Rattus norvegicus: one gene and its partners. The protein of the gene in region 2 purifies or fractionates together with the protein of the main gene of each other region. This does not show direct contact. Links are inferred from orthologs where the notes say so. Each region holds a gene or a part of one and is shown on either strand. Other genes may lie near its edges. The genes, in order: Snrpa1, Dhx15, Sf3b3, Sf3b6, Cherp, Gcfc2 and Sf3a3.

Region 1 (3,565 bases), on a different chromosome or scaffold from region 2:
ATAAGAAGAGTGCTGGGATTCGCCTGCTGGCTGCAAGAGAGGCTCAGTGGGAGGCACTATTCTCAAGGCAACAAGGCAGAGCAGGGAAACTGAGGCACTGGTATTTAATAACAAAATCTTTCCTAGATAAGGAATACAGTAAGAAGCCCAGATGCCAAGGAAAATGTGCTTTAACCTGCCCCACGGAGAAACCATGACCTCTGTGCCTCTGTCCCACAGGCTGGAAGATTATTTTTGCTCATGCTATAGCACCAACAAGCAAATGTCTCATTTCCTATTTAAAAATTTTCAAATCATTTTAAATTGATTTGTGAGATGCTCATGTATGTTGATTAAAAAGGTCACAGAATGCCTATGTGTTTAGTCCTGAAGGCTTCCTGCCTTTACCTTCAGGAAGAATCTAATATTTCAGGAGCAGGAGTAATGTCTATTCTGGAATACCAGCTCTCCAATTTCTCACTTAACCACCGCATACCTCACGGCAAACACAGGGCACACAGTTTGGCAGCACAGTAGGTTGCCTTTATTTACCATTTGTAGAAAATTGGCATTGCCATTTCAAGGTTTCTATTAAAAAATTATCAGCAGTAGTTCTGATCATTCAGCAAAGCTGCAGATTCCACGTTGCTGACACAAGCAAGGCTGTTACTCAATGCTCAAATGCAAGACATCCCACGAGCTTATCAGAGCACCTGCCAGAGCTCAGGACCCATTTGTGACTGTGCCGTCTTCCATCTCCTCTTCACCCTCATCACTCGGCCCTAAGAAAGAACCACGGAACACGTTACGTCCATTCTGTATTACCTACTCACTCTCATGCCACACACACTGATTAAAAAAATGAACATACATGAGCATGTGCATACGTACACACACACACACACACACACACACACACACACACACACACACACACACACACGACTGTCAACTGTGTTCCACAATTTGTGGCAGATTTCTACAGATTTCTGAGTTTGAAATCCAGCTTGGTAAATTCTAGAACAGCCAGGGCTATGTAGAGAGATCCTGTCTCTAACCACACACACACATGCACACGCGCGCACACACACCAAAAAGTTTTGCCATATTCAAATGTTTGGGGAAACTACTGGCAAGTCTGCCTATTATTTGGAAGCAAACAGCAGTTTTCCAGATGGATACACGTTACCACGCGTTGTTTGGCTATACCAGCAGTTTCTTACAGACAGCTCACAAAGTGAAGTTGAATTTTTCTTGGAATCCTTCCCATTCTCACCTCCAGCCCATTACTCTACCTTGCACTCTGAGTGCACCTTGTACCCACAGCAAGCACCTGAACACTTGTACGTCTTTCAAATGCTGACTTTCATGATTCATTAGCAGCCCCACTGACGTCCCCAGAAATGTTTGTAACATTAGACCCACAGACCTACATTTTCTTTAACTGTCTTTCTAGTAACGGTGAAGCCTGTGTGTCAGGGAAGTGCTCTACCAGATTTACATCCCCAGCCCAAGTTTTCCAAATTTTAATTTTTGCTTCAAATCTTCAGTTTTATCATTGGTCAGTGCTAGGGACTGAACTCAGGGACTTAAACATGGTTTTATTACTGAGCTCTATCTTCAGTACCACAGAAAAATCACTTTTATTTCTTCATGGAGGACCATGACAGAATGGTATATATTTAATGGGAGTGGAAGTAAGGAAGAAGAGAGCAAGTAGCATCCCTTGGCCTTGCTGAGGCACCAGCAGTTTTTAACCACTGAAGATGCTACTAAATGGAAAAAGCGAACATCTTGGAGTTACTACATAAATAATTTTACCTTGCCTGTCCCCAGGGGCCTAGAGACCACACAGTACCACAGTTCTTTTTTTTTTTTCCCGGAGCTGAGGACTGAACCCAGGGCCTTGTGCTTGCTAGGCAAGAGCTCTACCACTGAGCTAAATCCCCAACCCCTTCCACAGTTCTTAAAAATATCTCATACACTCTCCCTGAGGAGCGACTGACAATTGAAAGCTGCTGAAGTAGAAGAGCCATTTTCTTCAGCAGGGTACCCACTGTAACTTGCCCTTGCTCCAGCAAGCACCCTTACCTCATACTCATGCAAGCAATCTGACTAAATCTGACTAGGGTCACAAAAACTAAAAAGAACCAAAACAGCTCAAAGATAATGATCCTTGGGAAGCTGTCATGGTAGTCGTTCCAGGGATACTCATACTCAAATTTGTACTGTGTTTACTGTACTTGAATAGTGCATCTCTAGTGCTTGACATGCGGACACAAATTGGACATTTGAACAACAGACTTGTTAACACCTAGCAAACACAGCAGTCTTCCCGAAAACCTTTAATGACAGTACCTATCTGAAACTTAAAGATGAAGATATTTACCTTTAATGATGAAACTTGCCCAAGGACAGTACTGGTCAGGCTCTTCATAAGGCCTGTGCTGACCCACTAAACTACCATTTACAGCAACACCTTGCTTCCAGAGATTATGGTCTAAACTTTTCACCACTGGAGAGTTTGTTATTCTGTGAAGATGAACCTGACACTTACACACACCTAAATGGTAGAGGCTATTAACCCACCTGGTGAAGGCAATTGTTTTCCTAAACTATGCACATAGACAACATGTCACTGCTCTCAATAACACAGAGAACTGAATGCATCTGTACATATCTAAGCACAGAAAAAACACAGTAGAATACCAGGTGGAGGAATTCTGAAGCTGTTGCCCTGTGGAATCATTACTGTATATGCAGCGCGTCAGTCCACCAACATGTCCTTTATACAGCATGTGTCTCAGAAGTTCAGTCACCTCTAGAACCTAGTTCCGTCCATATGAAATGTTTTACTACAACTTGTAAAGACCCCATACATATCCCAGTGGCTTAAATTTCTTTATTGACCCTCCCTGCCTCCTGCCTTTGTTCTTCTTTTTCCTTTTCTTTCCCTTTTTTTGATAAAGGGTCTTGTATAGCCCAAGCTGGTCTCAAACTTGTTTTGTAGCCACAAATGACCTTCAACTTCTTACCCTCTTGGCTTAACCTCCCAAATACAGGGATTATGGGCCTAATCATCACGATAGTCAGCTAGTATTGTGTAATCACTCTAGTGTGACGTTTTGCAAGTTCAGACAGAAGAGTTTCCTCACCTGATCTGCGCTCTCTGCCAGGAATCTGGCCAGACTGCAGCAAGCCCTTCAGCCTCTCAACTTCAGCCAGTGTTGACGCGTTTGCTATGGCATTCTAGAAAACACAGGAAAGGGGAGATGGTGATGACCAGTACCCGGAAAGCACCACCGAAGGCCCAAGCACTTTCCCATAGAACATCAACCACACAGTTCTGGGTCAGGGAAGGATTTCACTGGCACATTACAAATCAACCTAGAAAACAGGCTGTCAATTTTCATATTTAGGAGGAGATTCAGGCTCTTGTAAAAGAGAAGTGATCATTTCATATGCCCTTAAAAAGCTAAGTCTGTCTGGAATCCTGTTACTGGAGACTTTAGGATTTTCTACCTACATTCCAACCAGGATTGTCAGCCAGCAAATCTTGGAAAGCAAAGAAACTAAGGCAATCTCC
Region 2 (4,028 bases):
AGGTTGTATTGGGTATTGTGAAAGTAACAAAAAGATATTCATTTGAATTTGTACTGATGGATGATACAAAAATAGAAGCTGTCATCTGCCATGTTTCTGTTGTATTTAATCTTTTGAGAATTTTTGAGGGACTAGAGCCAAGGAGCAGTCAAGGAGAATCTTGACATGAAGTGATACTCTGTGTTTGGGCTGATCATTAGAATTCTTTCCCCCCACACTTCTGGAAATAAATGCAATTGAGCAAGCACATAGGCTGAAGGGAGAAAGATACACAACCTCTTAAGTGTCACCTTCCCTCAACAACTTGCCATTACAGTGGAGTTTTAATGGATGCGCTATTTGTTGATTTCCTTCAGTCTAGGTGATTATGTCTATAAAATGTCTTTCAGGGTTCACTCTACTAAGGAGCACAGCAACTAGGCATGCTAGGGCATGTCTTTAATCCCAGCACTGGGAGGCAGAGACAGCACCTGATCTCTGAATTCCAGGCTAGCCTCTTCTACAGAGCATGTTTGAGGACAGCCAGAACTACACAGAGAAACCCTGTCTTAGAAAACCAAACCAAACCAAACCAAACCAAACCAAACCAAACCAAACGAGGACAGAGATAGGGTTAACATCTCCAAGTGCCTAATATGTACTCATATATACACAAACGGAGAGAGACTAGGGCAGAGGATTGGAGAAAAAATAAGGTGTCCAGTACGAATTCCTCCAATTTTCTGAACCCTATCCAAAACACCTATAGATTGAATAAATACTGTTCTGGGGTAAGTGGACAAAACGAGTCACAGTAAATTAACATGTTTCTCACCGCGGCTGGGAATCTGGCGCAACAACTGCAAATTCCTGTTCTGGAGTTATAAAATAATTGTGCCCTGCTCTGCCACTTACCAGCTGTGTGATCTTGTTTCCTTAAGCCTTCCTGAGCTTCAGACCCTAAAAACAAAAGTAAATACACAGCTGGATAGATTTCCTAATTAGAACTAGGCTTTTCCAACTTTCCGAACGAACTCCAGGCAGCAAGTGACAGCTTGAGGCTCATCTTCGTCCTTCGCAATCGCTCAGAGCGGCTCACAGCTAGGAGGAGAGGGGAGGAGCCCGCGGGGCGCAGAGCCATTCAGCCAATGGCACATCGGGCGGGACGGGAGTTCCCGCCTCCGGGCGGCGTGCGCGCGCACCACGCCGGCACGCCCGCCGCGGCGGCGCGCGCGCAGGCCCTGCCCTCGTCGTGGCCGCCATTTTAGCTCCTGGTTCGGGCCGCACGGAGCGGTCTGTGGTGGCGGGAGGGGTGGGGGTCCCTGCGAGTTGAGCAGCGGGCCTCTTCTGTGTGGATCCGGCTGCTGGAGTCTCTCTTCTTCCTTCCTTCCTAAGCGTCCGCTCTGGGAGTGCGAAGATGTCCAAGAGGCATCGGTTGGACCTGGGGGAGGATTACCCCTCCGGCAAGAAGCGTGCGGGGACCGATGGGTAAGACAGACCGGGTGCGCAGTCGCGGCTCGGGCTTTGTTGGCTTGTGGCGGGGAGCAGGCCCGGCAGCCGAGTCTTTGTCTGCCATCGGCCGGCTGGGGCGCGGGCCGAGTGTGTGCGGTCAGGGTGAGAGGCCTGTGGTGGCCACGAGGCCGCGGGCGGCGGGCGTGAGGAGCGGGCCGCGAGGCCTCGGTGCTCGCGTGAGGCCCGCAGCCGGGGAGAGTGTCCGGAATGGGGTGGCCAAGGGCACTGCCCCTTGAGCGGCCCCGGGCGGCGGCGGGAGCTGTCTACTTGGGGATAAAGACCAGCCGACCTCGGGGCGCACTGTTTGGCGGGAGACGGACGGCCTCCTTCCATTGAGGCACTTCAGAAGAGGCCGTTGCCAACTTCCGCCCTCTGCTTGCCCTCCCGCCATCTCCTTTATTTCCTGCTTTGCTTAAAAACCGGCCTTGCTAAGCATCAGTGGGGTAGGCCTGTGAAAATACGTAATCTCCCTCCGCTCTGTAAGTTATTTCTATCTCCTCCCGACTTTGGACGCACTTTTCAAAAAGTGATCTTAAGCGTGTTTGAACAAACAACACCCACGTGCAGATTGAGGAATGCTTACACCGATTCTTGGTCTGGCAGTTTGGTTCCTTTTCCTAGACTTTTGCAAAGACGGGGCATTTAGCATGTAAGCAGTTGTATTATCATTTTCCAGCTTTTCTGTGACAGTTCATACTTAAAATGTACTTTAGCTTATATTCCTACCCTTCCATTTTAATTAACTGTATGTTTATACTTTGGCAGTACAGAGATCTGTTTGGTTAGTTAAAAAAATATAACACAGAAGTCCGAATGTCCAAAACTGTTGTATGCTTTTATCATTTTCTTACGTCCTGTGACACTAGCTGTCAAGTCAGATGTGTGGTCTCTTGAGATTTTAAGTCTTTTGGGCTTGCTTTCTAACTACCAATGGGAGGTATAGGTCAGGATAGGATGTGTTCTGATGCTCTCCTTAGATTGAAATATTGAATATGGAAAGTAGGTTTGTTATGTTTTGATTCTGTAGTTTTTTTTTTAAAGCTTGTAATACTAAGCATTGTAATAATACAACATCCCAAGACAGCTAGCTATTCCCGCAAGCAAAAATTCCAAGCGTTCATATTTGAGCTCAGTCAGTTCTTAGGTAGAAATACAGCTCATGATTATTCTCCAAGGGAGAGCAACATTACAGTGATCTTTTCCATACTTTACAGTGGCATCTAGAAATCTCCTTTTCTCAACATGAAACATAAAACTGTAGTTAAACATTACCACCTGTCATAATGCCATTCTTATTGGATTGATAAAGTGTAGTGATTGTCACATTTGGCTAAGATGCAACTAATTTCCCACTTAGAGGTCACTCTGAGATAGTTCTTTTCAGTGTTTTTGTGTGTGTGTGTTCACTACTCAGTGCATTTATTTCGATTAGTGGCTCCACATTGATCACAGTGATCATGGTGATTTCTCTTGCTAATGTATAACATTGGTAAAATGGACTTTGGGTGTATCATGGTAGCTTCATGTTTTCTCTGAGTATTTAATATTTGTCAGTAAGTACAGGAGAGTTCAGTTGAAGAGTAATTCCTTAATTTCTAGAGATTCTGGAGGGCAGTTGTTGCTGTTTCGTAAGTGTTTTGAGTACTTTTTCTTATAGAACTGATTTTCTTTAGCAATGAGTTTATACAGTATTTGTGCTTGGTATCTATTGATTTTCTCTTCCTCACTTAGTTTGAAGGCACTTTTGACTGCCAGGGATTCTGTCCCTCCTCTCCTCCCTCCCTCCCTCTTTTCCTTCCTTTTTGCTCTTGTTTAGTGTATTTGACAGCATAGGCTTGTTCATTTTGTCACCCCAGCTGTCACCAGACCCTGTTGTCTCCATTCCAGCACACTTTTGTGTGTTTGGGTGTATGACCACTGCTTGTGGCAAGCAGAAGAAAACATGGAATTAGATACTTCCTCTTGACCATGCTGGCCCCAGGGGTCAACTCAGTTTTTCACTCTGAACCATCTCACCAGCTCTGGAAAATCTGAGGACATTTTTATTCTAATGGTTCTTAGTATTCCTGATCGAAACTCAATAATTATGATTCTTTGTAGGTAGAAGTGTGTTTCACTACAATCCTGTGGTAGCTGAAATTAAATAAGATGCAGTGAGCAAGAAATTTTCACACTTTAAGGTATAAAGAAAAGAGCAGTAAGTTACTCCAAATCATTATTTCCATCTTTGGAGACCATACTTATTCTTAAATACAAAATGTAATATCTGAGCTCTTGGAATTTGGGGCCTATTTGTGCAGTACTCCAGTTATAAGGCATATCTCTTGTCTTGCTCATTGATATTAAGTGCTTTCTTGGGTTTTTTTTCTATAGATATGTATACATATTAATGCCCATGCTTAGTAGTGTTTATATAAAATATCTGAAGTAGATGACTAGTTTCCATCCTTTTTAGCGCAGTATATTAGTGCCCGTTATTATTCCAAGTACAATTTAAATGGAACATCAGTAGTAACCAGTATTTGCCTGGTGCATTT
Region 3 (3,500 bases), on a different chromosome or scaffold from region 2:
CAAGTCAAACAGACACACAATTTAAAAGGAAAAAAAAAAAAAAAGGTTCAAGGGAGAAATGTAAAATAAAGAGATCACTAAAAGGAAAATAAAAACCCAGCAGCAACAACAACAACAACCCCCCCAAAACCCTAGCAGTTGTAGTGGGGGGGGGGGTGCACAAAACTCAGAAGTGAAAACCTGGCTCATTCATACAGTGCCCCCGGGTTTCCCTGGCTACGACTACTTGTCTTAGACTAGATATGGTTTCTACATGCTTGGTGCTAGTTGGTTTTTGCTGGCAAACAGTTTTTGGATGAGCTGGTGCTGAGGGAAAACTGAAAGCTGTGCGGTTGGGCTCAAATCAAGGCATCACGTAACACCCTATTGTGGGAGTTCAAGGACTAGAGAACAGTTAGTTCCACAGAGGGAACTGAATTCTGAGTAACCAGGCCACAAAAAAGCCTGTCAAAGGGAGAACAGGGCAAAGAACTTGGCTTGAAGTCCTGCAAAGGGGCTGGTTTATCCTTGTAGCTTTAGGGTCCAACCCACTTTACCTTTGTTTTTCCAAAAGGTCCTAGGAATCTAACCTGGAGCTTTGCGCATGCTGGTCACGAATAATACCACTGTGCTTTAAAACTAACAAAGGCAGCCAAGTGTGGTTGCGTACACCTTTAATCCCAACACTCCAGGGGTAGAGGCAGGCAAATCCCTGTAAAGTTCAAGGCCATTGTGGTCTACATAGTGGATAGCAAAATGTCTCAAAAAACAAAGACTATGGCTATTATGTGTGGCAGTGCACTTGGAAAGCTGGGAGCAGCAGGATCATTAAGAGTTCCTGGAGAGGGCTGGAGAGATGGCTCAGCGGTTAAGAGCACCCGACTGCTCTTCCAGAGGTCATGAGTTCAATTCCCAGCAACCACATGGTGGCTCACAACCATCTGTAAAGAGATCTGATGCCCCCTTCTGGTGTATCTGGAGACAGCTACAGTGTACTTATATATAATAAATAAAATAAATCTTTAAAAAAAAAAAGAGTTCCTGGAGAGCCAGGGTTATGGTCTGAGACCACTATCTCCAAAGCAGTGTGGATGTGGCAGGGAGAAGAGAATTAGACAAGTTTTAGATTTAAACTTTTCTAAACAACTTTATAGACAAGCCTTTTGAAACTACCCCTTTCAAGGTGAGAGTAATTACCTCAGCCATCTGCTGCTTTCTCTGAGCTTTTGTAGCCTCAGTGTAGGCATTGTGATCCGTCTCTATGATGATAAGGTTGTTACTCTCAGGGTGGATGACAAACTTCCTGGGTGTGTACTGCAAAGGAAAGGCCACTTGATTGAAGACAGCGCCAAGCTTCTCTAGTGCCAAAATCCTACGGCAATAAGCAAAGGAGTTAGAGAACACTGCTCGCTCAGCTTAGGAATCCATGAAATCAAGCATGATCAGGCACAGAAAACAGGAAACAACTGTCTATGCTTAAAGGACCACACACCAAAGGAAGGAGAGCCATGAAGAGTCCCTCTTCAGCAGCGCATCCCACTTCTACTGAACTTGCGCCTTCACTCCTGAACACAGCGAACTGTAGAACCTTATTGTTCTATAGCCAGTGTGACAATATGAAGTTCAGGGGCCATGGAGAAGGTTCAGTTGGTAGAGTCTTTGTATGGAACCATGATGACCCCAGTTACGGACCCTAAAACCCATTTAAAAGGAGGGTGCACTGGGTTCGGTCCCCAGCTCCGAAAAAAAAAAAAGGAGGGCGCAGCAGTCAGCAGGCCCTGTAATCCCTGTGCTAAGGAAAAGAGACAGGAGGATCTCTGGGGTTTGATGATAGTCAGTTTAGCTAATTCACAAACTATTTTCAGTGAGAGATCCTGCCTCAAAAAATAGGGATGAGTGTTTTATCTCTCCAGTTGGTTTCGTGAACCTGGGAGAGTAGGGCCTAAAAATGAGGCTAAACTCTCATTGAATAGCCAACTTGATTCTGAGCATCACCATTTTATACCCTGAAGCTTCAGAGTCACATGAGTATTTAATCACAAGGACAAGCCATACATGGCAAAAACCCAGAGAAACACGAATCACAACTCCAGTCAAACTCTGCCACACCTGGAAGGAACACAGTACATTCCTAGAACTCTGTGTTCTGAAGAAACTGAGGGCAGACTCTTTGTTTTCTTGGAGTTTTTTCACAAGCACCAGAATTTTCACGACTCTATTCTTGGACTGCATTAAAAAAAAAAACTTGGGGCTGGGGATTTGGCTCAGTGGTAGAGCGCTTACCTAGGAAGCGCAAGGCCCTGGGTTCGGTCCCCAGCTCCGAAAAAAAAAAAAAAAAAAAATTACTTATTTTATGTATACAAGTACACTGTCGCTGTCTTCAGACACACCAGTAGATGTGTTACAGATGGTTGTGAGCCACCATGTGGTTGCTGGGAATTGAACTTAGGTTCTCTAGAAGAGCAGTCAGTGCTCATAACCACTGAGCCATCTCTCCAGCTTTGGACTACAACTGATGAAGGCACATTTGAACATGTTGGAAACGCCCAATTCCACCTTTAACATCCACAGTTCAGTAACTACAACTTCAGTACGCTACAGTGGCCACTAAATGCGACACATTTCCACTGTCACAAGTTGGGTATTCTCGCTCTGTGCCGCACCACTTTATAAACAGTGCCTTCACCATTCCTATCCTCTATTCCACCCTCGTTCAGAGGCAGCCTCCCTCCATATATTGCCCCACAATAAGCCTCTCACATGAGGTTTTTTTTTTACATGGCCTGACTTTGTGGTGTGTGTTCTTTGGCCCCAATCCACCAAGGCACACTTCCTTCTGCCACAAAACCCTAACATTGGTGAAACCCTAATGTTGGTGTCATGTAACTTGGTTGGTAGGTTATCTTGGTGCCTTCATGTTTTCCCCTTGGGAATCTAAGCCGCATTAAGGCCCTATCCCTTATCTCTCTGGTCTACCTGCAACAGACTAACTTTCCAGCCCACTGGGCGCCCCACCCTACAGTAACAATTGATAAACTGAAGCTTTGGTCCGTGTAAACACTCCCTAGATCCAAGGATGACTGTTGGGCACTGGGTGGCCCTCTGGTATTCGTGAAGACAGAGCTACCTCAAGCTAGTCTTTAAGCCTACAGTTGAGCCTCTTTGGTGACCATACTTCTGATCCTTTTCCTTGTGTGAGGCTTCATTTTTGAGCAGTAGACTCTGGCAAATACCCCACAACACAACAGTAATCATATTTCTATTTCACTCTTTCAAAAACTGCCTTTAAAAGAAAAAAGAAAACCTGCATTCACACAAAAAATTAAGATAAACATTTACACATTTACTAATAGTCAAAAAGTTTATGTGACTGATTCTAACAGTAAGTACTAGAATGTTCAGTGGCCTTCCAAGCGAGCAACTGAAATTTGATCTTGAAGCCAACCAGCATTGGCTACCTAGGAAGATTCTATCATAAAAAATAAGTAACGGGGGGTTGGGGATTTAGCTCAGCGGTAGAG
Region 4 (3,271 bases), on a different chromosome or scaffold from region 2:
TTTAGATCCGCCTCCCACCTGAAGTAAATCGGATTTTGTATATAAGGAATTTGCCATACAAAATCACAGCAGAAGAAATGTATGATATATTTGGGAAATATGGACCTATTCGTCAAATCAGAGTGTAAGTCTTTCTGAGACTTAAAATGTCACTTAAAGGATATGGTTGCTTAATCTATAATCTCAGAATTGTAGCTGGCAGCAGGACTACACGTGTGGTATGTAATGATGTGTCTGTTTTGCAGTGGGACTACAAGACCCTTGAGTAAAAGTTCTTTCTAGTATCATGTAGTAGTGATAAAACTTCTAATCCTTAATGGAACCATTAAACTATACAGTACTTGTGCCATTGAAGGGTCCCTCAGAAGGGATTTCGAAAGCTTTACTGGAGAGTCACAAGGTTTCTCTTTAGGGAGGCACCGTTAGGAAGGTCCTGTTGGTTTGAACCCAGGGCGCTGCACATGCGAGGCAGGCATAACCCCAACCCCACTATATTTTTTATAAGTTTTCTGAAGTAAGTGTAGTAGGACAGGCCTATAATCTCATTTTGTGTGGTGGAGGCAAGAGTTGAAGGTGATTCTCATCTATAGAGCCTGGATTTCTTATAAGACTGTGTCTCAAATCAAGTCAAAGGTTTTCTTTTTATAACCTCAGAGCCCCCTTCCTGGCTTTTAGGACTGTGGGAGCCCAAGGCCTTTGCTTTCACATGACCACCATCTCTCCTGGGAGTAAACTGCTTCCTGGTTATATATCATCACTTGTGACACATTCCCATTAGTAGACAAATGAAGATGAAACATAAAACAGGCACTCTCTTTTGAAGGTCTCAGTCCTTTGAGCAACTGCTAAGGGCTTTGTACTCCCTACCTAATACAGTTTGTCCATATTTTGAGGGATGCAAGAACTCCAGGTCCTTCGAAGAACAAAGAATGTGTGTAGATTGTCTCTGGTTTGGGAGCCAGGGAACAAAGGTTTGCCATTAATGCCTGTAACTAGCCATGTGACAAGTGACCAGACTTGTTGGGTTTTTCTTTCTTCTGTAAGATAACTTGGGTGGTGGCCCTTTGGTTCTCAATGTGGAGGCAGTGTGATAATCGACTGGATTGGTTGTTAGGCCTGAGTTCAGATACTAACAGAGTCTTTCAAGTTAGGTGAGACTGGGCAGACTGTTTCATCTGTTTGGGCTTCAGTTCTCTATGAGACACTTAGCTTGGATCAGGTTGCACAGTCTGAACATACACCACTCTCCATAAAGCCACTGAACCTCTGTCAGTCCCTTAGTTACTTAGTTACTGCTAAGGCTAGCTATTTATTTATTTATTATGAATACAGTGTTCTCCCTGCATGTATGCCTGCATGCCAGAAGAGGGCACCAGATCTCATTACGGATGGTCGTGAGCCACCATGTGGTTGCTGGGAATTGAACTCAGGACCTCTGGAAGAGCAGTCAGTGTTCTCAACCTCTATCTAGTTAAGAGCCATCTAGTTAATACATGATCATGTTAGTGCCCATGAGCTCACCTGCCTTTCTTGGCAGAGGTGACTGCCTGCGAGTTTCGTGTTGGTAGTGGTTCATGATTGATGCACAGTAACCACCCACATACATAAGCAACTGAGTAGGGCTGGAGATGCAGCTTAGTAGTTGAGTGTGCAAGGCCTTGAGTTCAGTCCGCTGTGCTGTAAATGAATATAACCGTAGCATGGCTGTGATTAATTTCTGAAGGCATTATGAAGCTTACTCATAGCACTCACAAGAGATGCTTAAGTTGAAGGTAGAGAATGATACCAGAACCCCAACTTAAGAACCAGCACATAGAACACAGCTGTAGTCAGAGCCACACTGGAAACAGAGGCAGAAAGACCGCAAGTCTGAGACCAATCTGGGCAGTATAGTGTGGTAAATTAAACACAGCAGGGGCTACAGCTTGGTAATAGAGTGCAGTCAAAGCTTGAGCAAAGCCACAGTAGCTCAGGGCCTCGGCTTCCAAGGTCTTTCAGGCTGCCCAGCACAGCTGCTCTTACCCGGCTCCTTCTCAGCCTATTCTCAGCTTTGGGGAGGACTTTTCAGAGAGTTTTCCCTACGCCCCAGTTAAAGTAGCTCTCCTCACTACTCTGTCACAGCTCTCCTTTCCTCATGTGGCTCCATATGATCTGGGATTCACACTTTTTATGTAATGTCTTGTTTGACAGGAGGAAGGGGTGATGCCTACCTTTCACTGTTAGTTCTGCTGCCCATCCTAATGCAATGTGATTGTTGAATAGTCATAGAATTTTGAGGCCCAAGAACCTGGATCTTAACTGCAGAATGAGAAACAACAGATCTGTTCCCTCCCTGTGATCAACCTCTGTTACTTACTAGATGCCAGTACTGATTTTGTTTTTTTTTTTTTTAGAGAGGTTTTTCTGTATCCCTGGCTGTTCTAACTCACTCTTTAGACCAGGCTGGCTTTGAACTCAGAGACTGGCTTGCCTCTGCCTCCTGAGTGCTTGGGCCACCACCACTCAGCTAGTACTGATTTTCTAGAATGGAACTTGGTAAAACCTAGCCAGGCTTCTTCACACACCAGGACAATTAATCACTCAACTGATCAGCCTGACATGCAGGAGACACTTGGTACTTTGTGTTCTTTACAGCCTTCAATAGTGTTGCCTTTTCTATTAAAGTCTTGCATAGGGGTTGGAAAGATGGTTGTGGTTAAGAGTGCTTCCTGCTCTTCCAGAGGACCCAAGTTCTGTTCCCAACACCCACATTGGGTGGCTCACAACTGCCTGTAACTCTGGTTCCAGTTGGATCCTACATCACGTCTGGCCTCCAAGGGCACCTGCTCTACATATAAACACCTCCGCACACAGCATGCACATTTGTCTGTTTGAGAGTGTTTATTCAGATAGCAGTGGCTGTCCTGGTGTGTAGACCAGGCTAGCCTTGAACTCAGAGATCTGCCTGCGTCTGCCTGCTGAGTACTAGGATTAAAGGTGTGCAACACTACTGCCCAACATATAAGTCATTTTTAAAAACATATAATATAGGACAAATATCACCGAGATCAGTATATGATGTAAAGTAGCTGAAGCTAGAAAGGCCAGATTGTGAATGAGGTTTTTAATTCCTGTTTACTACCAGTCAGGAAAACGTTACGCTCAGTGCGCAGTACATGACACATTCCAAATACATGCTTTTAAAATTCAGATTATAGTGTAGAGTTCAAGGTGTGAGGTTGAAGTGAGAGCTAGGACCCCTGAAATGGAGAATGTATAAAGTCAGGATAAG
Region 5 (3,553 bases), on a different chromosome or scaffold from region 2:
CGGCTCCACACGGATGTGGACACTGGCAGGAACGGGTCCTGTGCCCTTCCAGACAGTGTGGCAGCTGCCTCTCTTAGGACTCTGACTGGAGTTTGGTCTCCTGGGGATTGAGGTCAGGTCATTAGGCCTAGTAGGGAGCCATCTTATAGGCCCCACATTATTTCTGGTGGGTCTTGGCTGGCTCAGAACTTTCCATCCCCTGGGCTCAGCCTTCCAAGTGCTGGGATCCCAGTGTGTGCAGCTTCTAAAACCAGTTCACCATGAGATATTTAACGTGGCATCTCCAGCCTCTTACCCTAGACTGCCCTCTTTCCAGTCTGACCATGTTATCTGTTATCTGTACCCAGTGTGGCTTTTCACCCCAGGACATCTTGAGTGTAGCACCATGGCCTTTCTTGGGCCACTGTGCGTGAGGGCACCCTGGAGCAGTATCTCCCAGTTTCCTGTGTGCATGCATCATGTTCTTTATGCTCTATGTCCTACAGTACATTAGGTGCCACAGGCCTGCACCCCTGACCATGGAGGCTGCCCTGCAGGAGGTGAGGAAGGAGCTTGAAGTCCACCTCGACATCAATGACAGCCATGTGGAGGCAAGCAAGGCTGCAGCTCTCCCCGCTGAGCCCATAGACGGACTCTAAGCTCCCATCTGCCCAGCTGGCTGCTGAGGACACAGCCGTGGACCCACCACAGGGCAGTGGTGCAGGATGGGGCCAGCCATGAGCCAGTGTGACAGACAGACAGCATGTGCCAGGCATATCAGTCATCCAGGACGGGACCAGCTGCCCCATGAGAACACGCCATGCAGGGGCTGAGCACCCTGGGGCACCTCACCCACAGCTGGAGGAAATCTTTTACAAAAGGCTTTATTGGAAGGCAAAACAGTAAAATCCACAATCAATTGTTAACAGCACAGGTGTATCTGCTTGTTTATCCTGAGTCAGACACATCTGAACATCATAGCTATGAGAAATCTAAAACAAAAATCAAGTGTCTTAAATGGTACTGAAAAGTTGTAGGACTCTGCATTTTATTGAAAAGAATGTTTCAAAAGTTTGTGTACAAACAATGGCACCAGGCTGCTCCTTAAACAACAGCACAGGAGGTGCTGGCTGGCTGGAGCCCAGCACTCCATGCTCTGCGCTGGTATTGGCTTCCCCAGGCAGAAGCCCCAAGCTGAGGTGCTGCACTAGGTGGAGGGGCTCCGGAGGCCATCTTCCCCTGACCCACCAGAACTTAGCCCAGTGTCAGAAGCTATGTCCAGGTAATAGAGGCAAACAGCTAACATTTATGGAAATGGATGGTAAAAATACAACTAAACGATGAACTGAGTCAGGCAGGAGTCAGATGATCCCTGCCTCAGGGGTCAGTACTTGTTTTTCCTAACACAAAACCAGGTGGAGCCTTCTGACCTCTGCAGCTCAGAGGCCAGGCTATTCTGGTTGCCACACTCAGTGCAAGGCAGCCTTCTCACTACTGGGCTCTAGGCTGTGCAGCACTATGGGTGGGACTTGGGCTCTGGGCTGGGGGGTGGTGTTGAGTTTTGCTATCTGGGCACTGCGAGTGGTATCTGCAGCACCTCCTCCAGGGCAAACGCAGGACAAGCCCTTCCACACTGTGAAGCTGAGGCCTGTGGTCAGTCTTCCTTCTCTTCCTTTCGCGCCCCAAACGTGGAAACTGTATGAGAACAGGGCTGTCACCCCCACCTTTCCCACAGAAAGCTAAGCCTGCCGTGCCCACCCACACCTATACTCACATTCATCTCGGGCCTTCATTCGAGCAATGAAGGAGTAGCTCTTATTGCGGCGGTAGTTCTCATATGGGTCATCCAGGGCCACGCCCACACCCTTGTACTGGTCCCATTTATCTCGGACATCACCACCCTTAATGGGGTCCTGGATGCCCTGCTCCTTTGCACCGAGGCCACCAGACCCGCTCCAGCCTTCAGAGAAGAAAAAACACACGAGGTGGGGTGTGACCATGTCCCCTGGGACATGAACCCCCAGCAGTATCCCAACATATGGTTAGGCAGGGAGCTGGCACTGGTCGGGTCTACTCACCCATCTTCACCAGCATCTGGTGGCCTTTATTCTCTTCTCCAAGCCTTGAGTCTGGTATGGGAGGTGCTGAGTTAGAACCCAGGCCGGCTGCAGAGCTGGAATGAAGAGACACTCTCTAAGCTTTAACCTCTACAACAGGCCCCTGAGCACTGAGAGCAGTCAGTCAGTTAAGCATTGAGGGAAAAGGCTGTGGGTTGGCCCAGTGGTGGGAGGGGTGCCACCCCACTCTTTAGCAACAGGGGTATATTTGACAACTTCCACACTTGTGGCTTACGGTGGGGTGGGGCTCCGGGACCTGGAGCGACGCCGCCTCCCAGGGGAGTATGACTTGGACCTGGACCTAGACCTGGAGCGTGAGCGGCTTCTGGAGGAACGTGACCGGCTGCGGCTTCTGTGGGGGCAACAGGACAATGGGGCATGGGCAGGAATAGTGCTCCCGGGTTTTCTGAGGTTCCCCATGTGCCTACCTGGACCTGGAGCGGGAGGAAGAGCGGGACCGAGACCGGGATCGTGAGCGGGAGGAGGACCTTGAGGACTTGGAGGATCGTGAGCTGGAGCGAGATGAGGAACGGCCTCGGCTCTTGGACCGGCTGTGTGACCTGGAGGGGCCACTGCAGGGAAATGCCACAGTGAGGACGGCAGTGAACAGCAACCACATGCCACAATGGCAGCCCCATGAAACGAGCACAGCTCACCTGTTCCTCTTCTCCTGGCCCTTGCGCCGCCGTGCCCGCATCTTAGCTCGAAAGAATTCATAGAGGCCATTCTGCTCCCAGCCCTCGCTGCATGACATGGTCCCCATGAGAGGCTTGCGTCAGCCCCCAAGGACCACAGTGGCCAGGAAGGGGGTCCCTTGCACTAGGAAGCTAACCAAGAGGTAGCTGGGGTTCTGCTGGGTCTCCAGCCCTCCCCCCAAATCCCAGGAGACCTCCTATCATGCCCATTGCTGTTCTTAGTGTCTGCTGTGGCAGGCTGGGCCGAGGCTGGATGCTACAAGGCCATCACTCCAGGCCCAATGCAGTGTGCAGAGGAAGAAGTCCTCATCTGCCGGACAGACTTAGTGGGTGGGGGCTCAGCCAGGCCTTGGGGCACCAACTTCCCTACCTGTTCCTTGGTCTGTCATGGGAGGGTGGGCTGTAGAAGGCTTCCACAGCTGCAAGTAGCCTCTCACTGGGAGGCATGGGGGGTGGCAGGCGGATGTCTTTGGGGTCCAGAGGCTTGTACTCATGGTCCTCCAGCTGTAGGAGAACATGGCTGTTGCCTGGGTCCTGAGGAGTCCTACTTGGCCACCCAGTGGAATTTAGCAAGGCAGGAACTCAGCGTGACAATACCAGTATGCCCCACTCCCATGTTCAACCTCCCGGGTCAGGGCCCAGTATCACCTTCACAAGGGGAGCCATTAACCCCGCTGGAAGATCGAAGTAGGGCACATTGGGGACCAGGCTGGGGTCATCATGGTTGATGTGAGGTGGGCCCTGTCGCCGCATGTGGGGGGG
Region 6 (3,165 bases), on a different chromosome or scaffold from region 2:
AAACAGCAAAAAAGCCTCACTTGCTACCAGCTGATAACTTTGTTACCAAAAAAATCTTACACAAAATTTAAAGAAAAGTGGTCAGTTTTCTGAAAAGCTACTTGTCAGAACATAGGCAAAAGATCAGTATTCCTGTAGAAAAAGATGGACACTTCAAAAAGAATTATAGGTGACCCAAACCGACACATCTTCATTCTTCAACGGGCTGGAGAACAGCACAGTGGTTAAGATCCCTTCTGAGGACCTGGGTTTGGTTCCCAGCACATCAGGTGGCCCACAACCTCCTGGAATCCAGTTCTAGGAGATCTAATGCCTTCTGGCCCCTACATGGACGCAGTGCTAAACCCAGGAACATACATAAGCAAACATATAAAAATATACCTTCTTTTCAAAAATTTTTTTCTTAATAAATTGTCAATGAATTAAAATCTGGAGACTCACTCGCGCTCTCTTAACCTAAGTTCATCAATCAATCAGTACAGATTTTGAAAGGATAATTTGTATAAAAATGTATTAACCATTTAATATTAATAAGCAATTTCTTACACTTCAGAATGAGACCCAGTCTCCACAAAAGAATAAGACAAAAGAAATCAAGAGATAGAAAGTTTTTCCCTCATTAGCTGATTTGTAAACAGTTGGAGTCTGTTGAAGGTGGTTTTGACGCGGGGCATGCTTCTGTGTGTCAGATTTCCTCATCATCTTCTCAGACTGAGAGAGAATAAAAGAGAAGCACACTGAGCGCCAGCCGCCTCATGCATGTACTTCCCTCAGACACACAGCAGCAGGAAGCTTTCCACACAGCCACGGTGGGCACAGCGGACAGGAGGCGTCATCTATATACAGGAAAGGCGCTGTCCACTCTCATCATGGACCTCTGTACAGCACGCTCACACACCTGCCGTCTGGGCTGTGAGGGGCTCCAGGCGATGCTCCTCTGTGAGGGATTCAGCTTGACTCAGAGCCTTTACCTTCACCAGGATAAGAATTATTCCATTGAGTTCATTCCTGAAAACAGCCAAAAAGCATTTACTCACCCCTTATGCAGTCCAGGCTGGAGGCACATGAGAGACACAAAGTCTTTAGCGGGCAGGGGGCCCTAAATCTGATCCTTAGCACAAAACGAGATGGAATAAAATGAAAGGAAAGCGATAATAACAGTACTATAACAGCTCAGAAGGGAGTAACAATGGTGACTGAGGACCCAAGCCAGTATCTAGAGCTGCATACAATACAGAGACGCTATCCCTTCTGTACCTCATCACACGCAGTGATGCTTCAGTTAAAGGCAAGGTGTTGGTTAGTCCCTAGCATGCCGCCATGAAACACATTACCTGCTGTTATGCGCTGGTCGGAACAAATGTGCTGACAGCTCTATAAAAGCACAGCATATGAGCTGTCCACAGTACTGGACACTGTGACCACATTGTGTATTTTTGTATTAGCTACATATACATGTGCATTACAGTCTATCGGTAGCAGCCTGCGTCACCCATTTCTATACGCACACTGCAGTACTGGCCAGACATAAACTGCCAATGATGTAGTTCTCAGAATGACCACAGTTTCATACACCTCACGATTGCAACTGCAAAGTCCAATACGCAATATTTTGGAAAATTTGTATGCGATGGCAACACAAAGCAGAACACAGAGCAAGCCCGTCATCAGGGTCTCCACAGTACTGTGCTGTCAGCGTCAATGCCACTGTGTTGGTAGCTAACGGGAACAGTCGACTTCCTCAGCACGACAGAAGGATGGATTCCGCACGTGCCACAGTGCCTGTTTCTGAGTACTTGGATTGAGCCCAGGGCCTTTTGTTGCTAGGCAAATACTCTGCCAGACTGGTTATATCCCAAGACCCAGATTTAAAAAATTATAATATAAGTGCAAAACTTGCTCAAAATTGTTAACAACATTAAAAATCCTCGCACAATGCTTTGGAGGTGAAAAACTGAGCATTACCTGAATTCAGTTGTGGATAATTTGCGTGCAGACTGCAACAAAAACTGAACGAAGTTTTCTAGCTGGGGAAGTGATGTCCTCATAGCAGAGTTCTCAAACCATTTGTCTGGCAGACATGCTGCTATCTGTCAGTCAAGACACACGACAGGATTACAAGATAAGAGCAAAGAAAGTTTGAGATTTCTTTTTCCTGTGTCAAAGGTAACATGGCATTAAAAAGATCACTCTTCAGGGGCTGGAGAGATGGCTCAGTGGTTACCAGCAATGGCTGCTCTTCCAGAGGACCCAGGTTCAATTCCCATAACCCACAATGACAGCTCACAGACATATGCAACTCCAGTTCCAGGAGATCTGGTGTCCCCTTCTGGCCTCCTCAGGCATTACATTCACACAGTACAGACACACACAGAAGCACGACACCCATACATATAGAATAACAAGAGTAAAAAAAAAAAAAAAAAAAAAGCTCAAAGCCACCTGATTAGCAATCATTCTTCATTGCTAGAGGCATAAATATGCAGACGGCATCTGCTCTGCACTTTCTAGCAATGTTTATATTCCACAGTCTTCAGACATTGGAGAGGAGGAAAGGACAGGTGATTCTAAGTCTTTTATCCAATGTGCTATCCATGCCCATGGTTGCCAAACAGATCAATACAACGCATGCAACTGTTTCAAGAAGACAAAGACGAAAAAATCCTTCTTCAAAAATAACACGGAAGATTAGAGAAGAGTTTGGGGAAAGTCAGAAAAATGTTGAAGACAAGTAACTTCCTCTTAGCAACAGGAAGGAAAAGGAGAGAACTCAATGAGGAGAGGAAAACTTGGATGGCCACAAGATGAGGATCTGAGACCAGAAAGGAGAAAGCCAAAACACCAAACATGCACAGTAAAGGAACACAGGGGCTGGAAATAAAGAAGTCCAGTGCCAGCCTTAAAAGCAGTTGTACAAAATGGCAGCAGAGGATGTAACCTGGGTATGGTGATAGGTGTCTAAGTCCAGCATCTGAGAGGCCTGGGGCAGAAAGGACTCTGAGTTCTAAATTAGCCAGCCTAGTCAGCAGACATAGCCTGCCTCAAGAGAGAGAGATAGATAGATAGATAGATAGATAGATAGATAGATAGATAGATGGATGGATGGATGGATGGATGGATGGATGGATGGATGGATGGATGGATAGACAGACAGACAGACAGACA
Region 7 (3,500 bases), on a different chromosome or scaffold from region 2:
GGTGAGGCATAGAGAAAAAGCAAAACAAAGACAGATCACATCAGTACAGGACATGAAGGGACAGTTCCTCTAACTCTTGCTGCCCTTCACTTCCAAAAGGAAGGTTTTGGTTGTAAAATAAGGCTAAGTTGGCTTGGCAAGATGATTCAGTTGATGACCTGAGTTGAAGCCTCAGAACCCATGTAAAAGCCACCCTCCTTGCAACCTCAGCACTCCTACAGCACCACAGGAGACAGAGACAGAGAACTGTCTGGAAGGTCATGGGCATACTAGCCTGCAGCATCACGTGCAGCAGAAACAGGGAGATAGCACTTCAAACCAAGCAGGAAGGTATGAAGGGCACTTCCTGAGACCCTACAAGAGGAGACTGTCCATAGCCATCTTCGTACTGGCCCTCCTCTAGCCTTGCCAGGTTTCAGTCTCAACATGGGGCAAACTGTTGTGCCACAGTAAGTCACGTCTGAAGCACCGCTGAGTCACCTCTGGCTTGCCTTTTGAGTGCCTACTTCTTGGGTCACCCCCTGGTTTATGCTGAAGCTCAGCAAAGAGCTGCATTACTCTAGATCGGGCTGAACGAGGAGACAGGCAGGGTCTACTGTCTATGTCTGACCTTATGAGAATTGGGCAGCCTTGGGAATATCACCTAACGATACAACAGGAGTCCAAAAGAAGGGCCAAGGACTTCAAGAGAACCATACTTTGAGGTGAACTAAGTTACTGCCCACCCCACTTCCTTATGTGAACTTAAAAAAAAAAAAAAAATCCGGGGCTGGGGATTTAGCTCAGTGGTAGAGCGCTTACCTAGGAAGCGCAAGGCCCTGGGTTCGGTCCCCAGCTCCGAAAAAAAGAACCCAAAAAAAAAAAAAAAAAAAAAAAAAAAAATCCTTCCTATGCACGGCTCTAGAAGATCGCACTTACCCCAAGAATCTCCACATATTCATAGATCTGGGCTTCCAGGAAAGCAATGTCTTTGTTCCTCTCAGTGTCTCTGAGAACAAGAACAAGCTGTATCAATTAAGGGTTCTTTGTATCGAAAGCTTTATTCCCTGTCAGGAACACGGTCTCTGTGACAGAATTACACAATCTCAAGCATGTGAGCAGGCCACACGAGGCAGCCTCCCTGCTCAAATCCTGAGGGCAGTTCTTAGAAGCTAGGGAGTCTCATCTTGACTTTGTGTGTACAGTGAATGGCCTGTGAGACCACTTCAACTGTATGGCACCACTGTGATTTACAAAGGAATGCAATATATAAGAAGCCCTGAAAGCAAGTAACGATACAAAGTCCTAATTCCGCTGCTTTGCAACTGCAAGGAAGGTCACATTTAGCAACTTTCCCAAGTCCTTGCAAAAATCAGATTAACAACCACTTTCCAGGATTGGTATAACATATTAGGGAGAAAAAAAAAAAAAGGCCAAATCAAAAAACAATACCCTGTATACATATGCAGCTCATAAATATACCCAGCTGTCACTAATAAAATTAAAGTATTAAAAAAATCTATTTTGAGACAAAGTCTAACTCAGGGAGCCCTTAAAACATTGCTCCTAGATCAGTGCCTTATCCAGTCATCACTGGAGCAGCTTTCTCCCAGCAGATAGGAACAGACACAGAGCCTACAGCAGACACTCTGTGGAGAGAGGGTCTAAATGGGAGGTCTCTAACAAATCCCTCCCCTGAGCTCAGGGAAGAAGAGCAGGGAGGTAAGAGACAGAGGAGAGAGGCCAGCAGGAGAGCACGGGCTCTCCACATCGACAAAGGGAGACATAAGAGTTCAGAGACTGAAGCACAGAGCCTACACGGGGCTGCACTAGGTCCTCTGTGTATATATTATGGCTTTTAGCTCAAGTGTTTTTATGGGACTCCTGACTGTGACTAGGATGGATCTTTGAGTCTTCTGGCTGCCCCTGAGACTTTTCCTTCTGTTGGGTTGCCATGCCTAACTTTGATATGATAGTTTTTTCTTCACCTTATCATATTTTATTTTGTCACGTTTGGCTGTTCTCTCTTAAAAGCCTATTCTTTCCTAATAACAGATAGAAAGGGAGTGGAACTGAAGGGAAGGAGAGGGGAGGAGAGGGAAGGGGGAGGAACGAGAAGGGATAGAAGGAGGGCAAACTATAATCAGGATAAATTGTAGGAGACAATAATCTACCTTCAATAAAAGAAAAAAATCTACTTTCAAAAAAATAAATAAATAAAAGAAAGAAAGAAAGAAAGAAAGAAAGAAAAAAAAAAGAAAAAGAAAAATTGTGCGATCCTTAGCTGGGTTTAATGGTGCTCTTCCTTAATCCCAGCACTGGGGAGACAGAGGCAACTGGATGTCTGTGAGTTTGAAGCCAGACTGGTCTACATAGTGAGTTCTAGTACAGCCAGAGCTACACAGTGAGACCCTGTTTCAAAAAAAAAAAAAAAAAAAAAAAAAAAGGAAAACCAACCAACCAACCAACCAGGCCTGGTGGCACATGCCTGCAAGAGCAACCTTCTGAGACAGAGATGCCATGGGGGAAGCTGAAGGTCGTGCCCAGATACGAGCAAGTTTGAGGCCAATCCGAGTTATGGGAGAGCCTGACTTAGAGGGGAAAAGCAAAGCAAAAGGAGAAGTAGAAAGCAGGCTCCATAGGACAGAAATGTAAAAACCAGAGTGGAGATGTGAACCAGCTACTCACCTCTTTGTGCCCTTTGACTTGGGATTTTTGGCAAACAGAGAGGTGTCGAGCGACTCCAAGGACTTTCCTTTGGTGCTGAAGAGTCTCTGAGCTCGTTCTTCTAGGGTCCTAAGGAGGTAAGAGGTACATACTACACAGATGGTCTTTTTTCTTTTTAAAAGAAACTCATTATTAAGGACCAGGCTGGTCTCGGACTCACACACAGACACTTGCCTGCCCTCTCAGTGCTGGGGTTAAAGGCATTCACCATCATACACTGTACAAAATGATTTTTGCAGTGTGTGTTAATCAAACAACAAAATCACAGCCTCTTAGAGGATCATCCAAACACACAGCCAGTAGGGTTTTTGATAGCAAAACCAGGTTCTTACCCACCACACTTCAGGCCTAAAGCCAACAGTGCAGATTTCAATCTGTCCAGACCCAGGGATGCCAACTCCTAGAAAGAGAAATCGGTTACAACACAACATGACTAGCTTTTTCCCCAGGCAGGACTACATTCTACAGTCAGCCTCCTACCTTTCAGTCCCCAAAGACTGACTACTGCCATGTCCAGAGTCAGCCACCATGGGAAGGGAGTGTTCAGTGGCTCTCCATAGGGAGGCCACTCATAGAAGTATTTTTTGCAGAGACAGGAACTGAACTCGGAACCTCACACATGCTAGGCAAGTACCCCACCAACTGAACACTTGTCTCTAGCTCCTTGCTTTGTTTTAGAATAACTGATTTTGGGTTTGAGACAGATCTTACTCTAAAGCTAGCCTCAAACTCACAGCAATTCTCTTGCCTCAGTCTCCCTCTAACTTTCTAAACCCTATGACATCATATCATAG

The links.
Region 1: the proteins of Dhx15 (region 2) and Snrpa1 fractionate together in Homo sapiens (co-fractionation; 3 studies listed by BioGRID and IntAct, with this or other methods). This does not show direct contact. The link is inferred for Rattus norvegicus from reciprocal best matches to the Homo sapiens genes DHX15 and SNRPA1.
Region 3: the proteins of Dhx15 (region 2) and Sf3b3 purify together in Homo sapiens (co-immunoprecipitation; 4 studies listed by BioGRID and IntAct, with this or other methods). This does not show direct contact. The link is inferred for Rattus norvegicus from reciprocal best matches to the Homo sapiens genes DHX15 and SF3B3.
Region 4: the proteins of Dhx15 (region 2) and Sf3b6 fractionate together in Homo sapiens (co-fractionation; 3 studies listed by BioGRID and IntAct, with this or other methods). This does not show direct contact. The link is inferred for Rattus norvegicus from reciprocal best matches to the Homo sapiens genes DHX15 and SF3B6.
Region 5: the proteins of Dhx15 (region 2) and Cherp purify together in Homo sapiens (co-immunoprecipitation; 3 studies listed by BioGRID and IntAct, with this or other methods). This does not show direct contact. The link is inferred for Rattus norvegicus from reciprocal best matches to the Homo sapiens genes DHX15 and CHERP.
Region 6: the proteins of Dhx15 (region 2) and Gcfc2 purify together in Homo sapiens (co-immunoprecipitation; 3 studies listed by BioGRID and IntAct, with this or other methods). This does not show direct contact. The link is inferred for Rattus norvegicus from reciprocal best matches to the Homo sapiens genes DHX15 and GCFC2.
Region 7: the proteins of Dhx15 (region 2) and Sf3a3 fractionate together in Homo sapiens (co-fractionation; 3 studies listed by BioGRID and IntAct, with this or other methods). This does not show direct contact. The link is inferred for Rattus norvegicus from reciprocal best matches to the Homo sapiens genes DHX15 and SF3A3.

The regions. Positions count from the first base shown.
Region 1 is NC_086019.1:129,062,050-129,065,614, reverse strand, and holds the end of Snrpa1 (U2 small nuclear ribonucleoprotein A'), read right to left. Parts: intron 3,229-3,565; coding exon 3,135-3,228; intron 762-3,134; coding exon 703-761; 3' UTR 501-702; downstream 1-500. UniProt on the Homo sapiens protein: Involved in pre-mRNA splicing as component of the spliceosome. Associated with sn-RNP U2, where it contributes to the binding of stem loop IV of U2 snRNA.
Region 2 is NC_086032.1:62,998,670-63,002,697, forward strand, and holds the start of Dhx15 (ATP-dependent RNA helicase DHX15), read left to right. Parts: upstream 1-1,228; 5' UTR 1,229-1,396; coding exon 1,397-1,467; intron 1,468-4,028.
Region 3 is NC_086037.1:55,698,622-55,702,121, forward strand, and holds part of Sf3b3 (splicing factor 3B subunit 3), read right to left. Parts: intron 1,352-3,500; coding exon 1,177-1,351; intron 1-1,176. UniProt on the Homo sapiens protein: Component of the 17S U2 SnRNP complex of the spliceosome, a large ribonucleoprotein complex that removes introns from transcribed pre-mRNAs.
Region 4 is NC_086024.1:33,548,495-33,551,765, forward strand, and holds part of Sf3b6 (splicing factor 3B subunit 6), read left to right. Parts: intron 1-5; coding exon 6-124; intron 125-3,088; exon of another isoform or gene 3,089-3,271.
Region 5 is NC_086034.1:17,411,497-17,415,049, reverse strand, and holds the end of Cherp (calcium homeostasis endoplasmic reticulum protein), read right to left. Parts: coding exon 3,440-3,553; intron 3,296-3,439; coding exon 3,162-3,295; intron 2,840-3,161; coding exon 2,753-2,839; intron 2,669-2,752; coding exon 2,525-2,668; intron 2,449-2,524; coding exon 2,332-2,448; intron 2,153-2,331; coding exon 2,058-2,152; intron 1,940-2,057; coding exon 1,754-1,939; intron 1,675-1,753; coding exon 1,634-1,674; 3' UTR 639-1,633; downstream 1-638. Other genes in the region: C16h19orf44 (uncharacterized protein C19orf44 homolog), read left to right, coding at 486-638. UniProt on the Homo sapiens protein: Involved in calcium homeostasis, growth and proliferation.
Region 6 is NC_086022.1:116,073,660-116,076,824, reverse strand, and holds the end of Gcfc2 (intron Large complex component GCFC2), read right to left. Parts: intron 2,091-3,165; coding exon 1,966-2,090; intron 1,009-1,965; coding exon 891-1,008; 3' UTR 712-890; coding exon of another isoform or gene 707-711; 3' UTR 501-706; downstream 1-500.
Region 7 is NC_086023.1:142,262,407-142,265,906, reverse strand, and holds part of Sf3a3 (splicing factor 3A subunit 3), read right to left. Parts: intron 3,107-3,500; coding exon 3,039-3,106; intron 2,776-3,038; coding exon 2,668-2,775; intron 989-2,667; coding exon 919-988; intron 1-918. UniProt on the Homo sapiens protein: Component of the 17S U2 SnRNP complex of the spliceosome, a large ribonucleoprotein complex that removes introns from transcribed pre-mRNAs.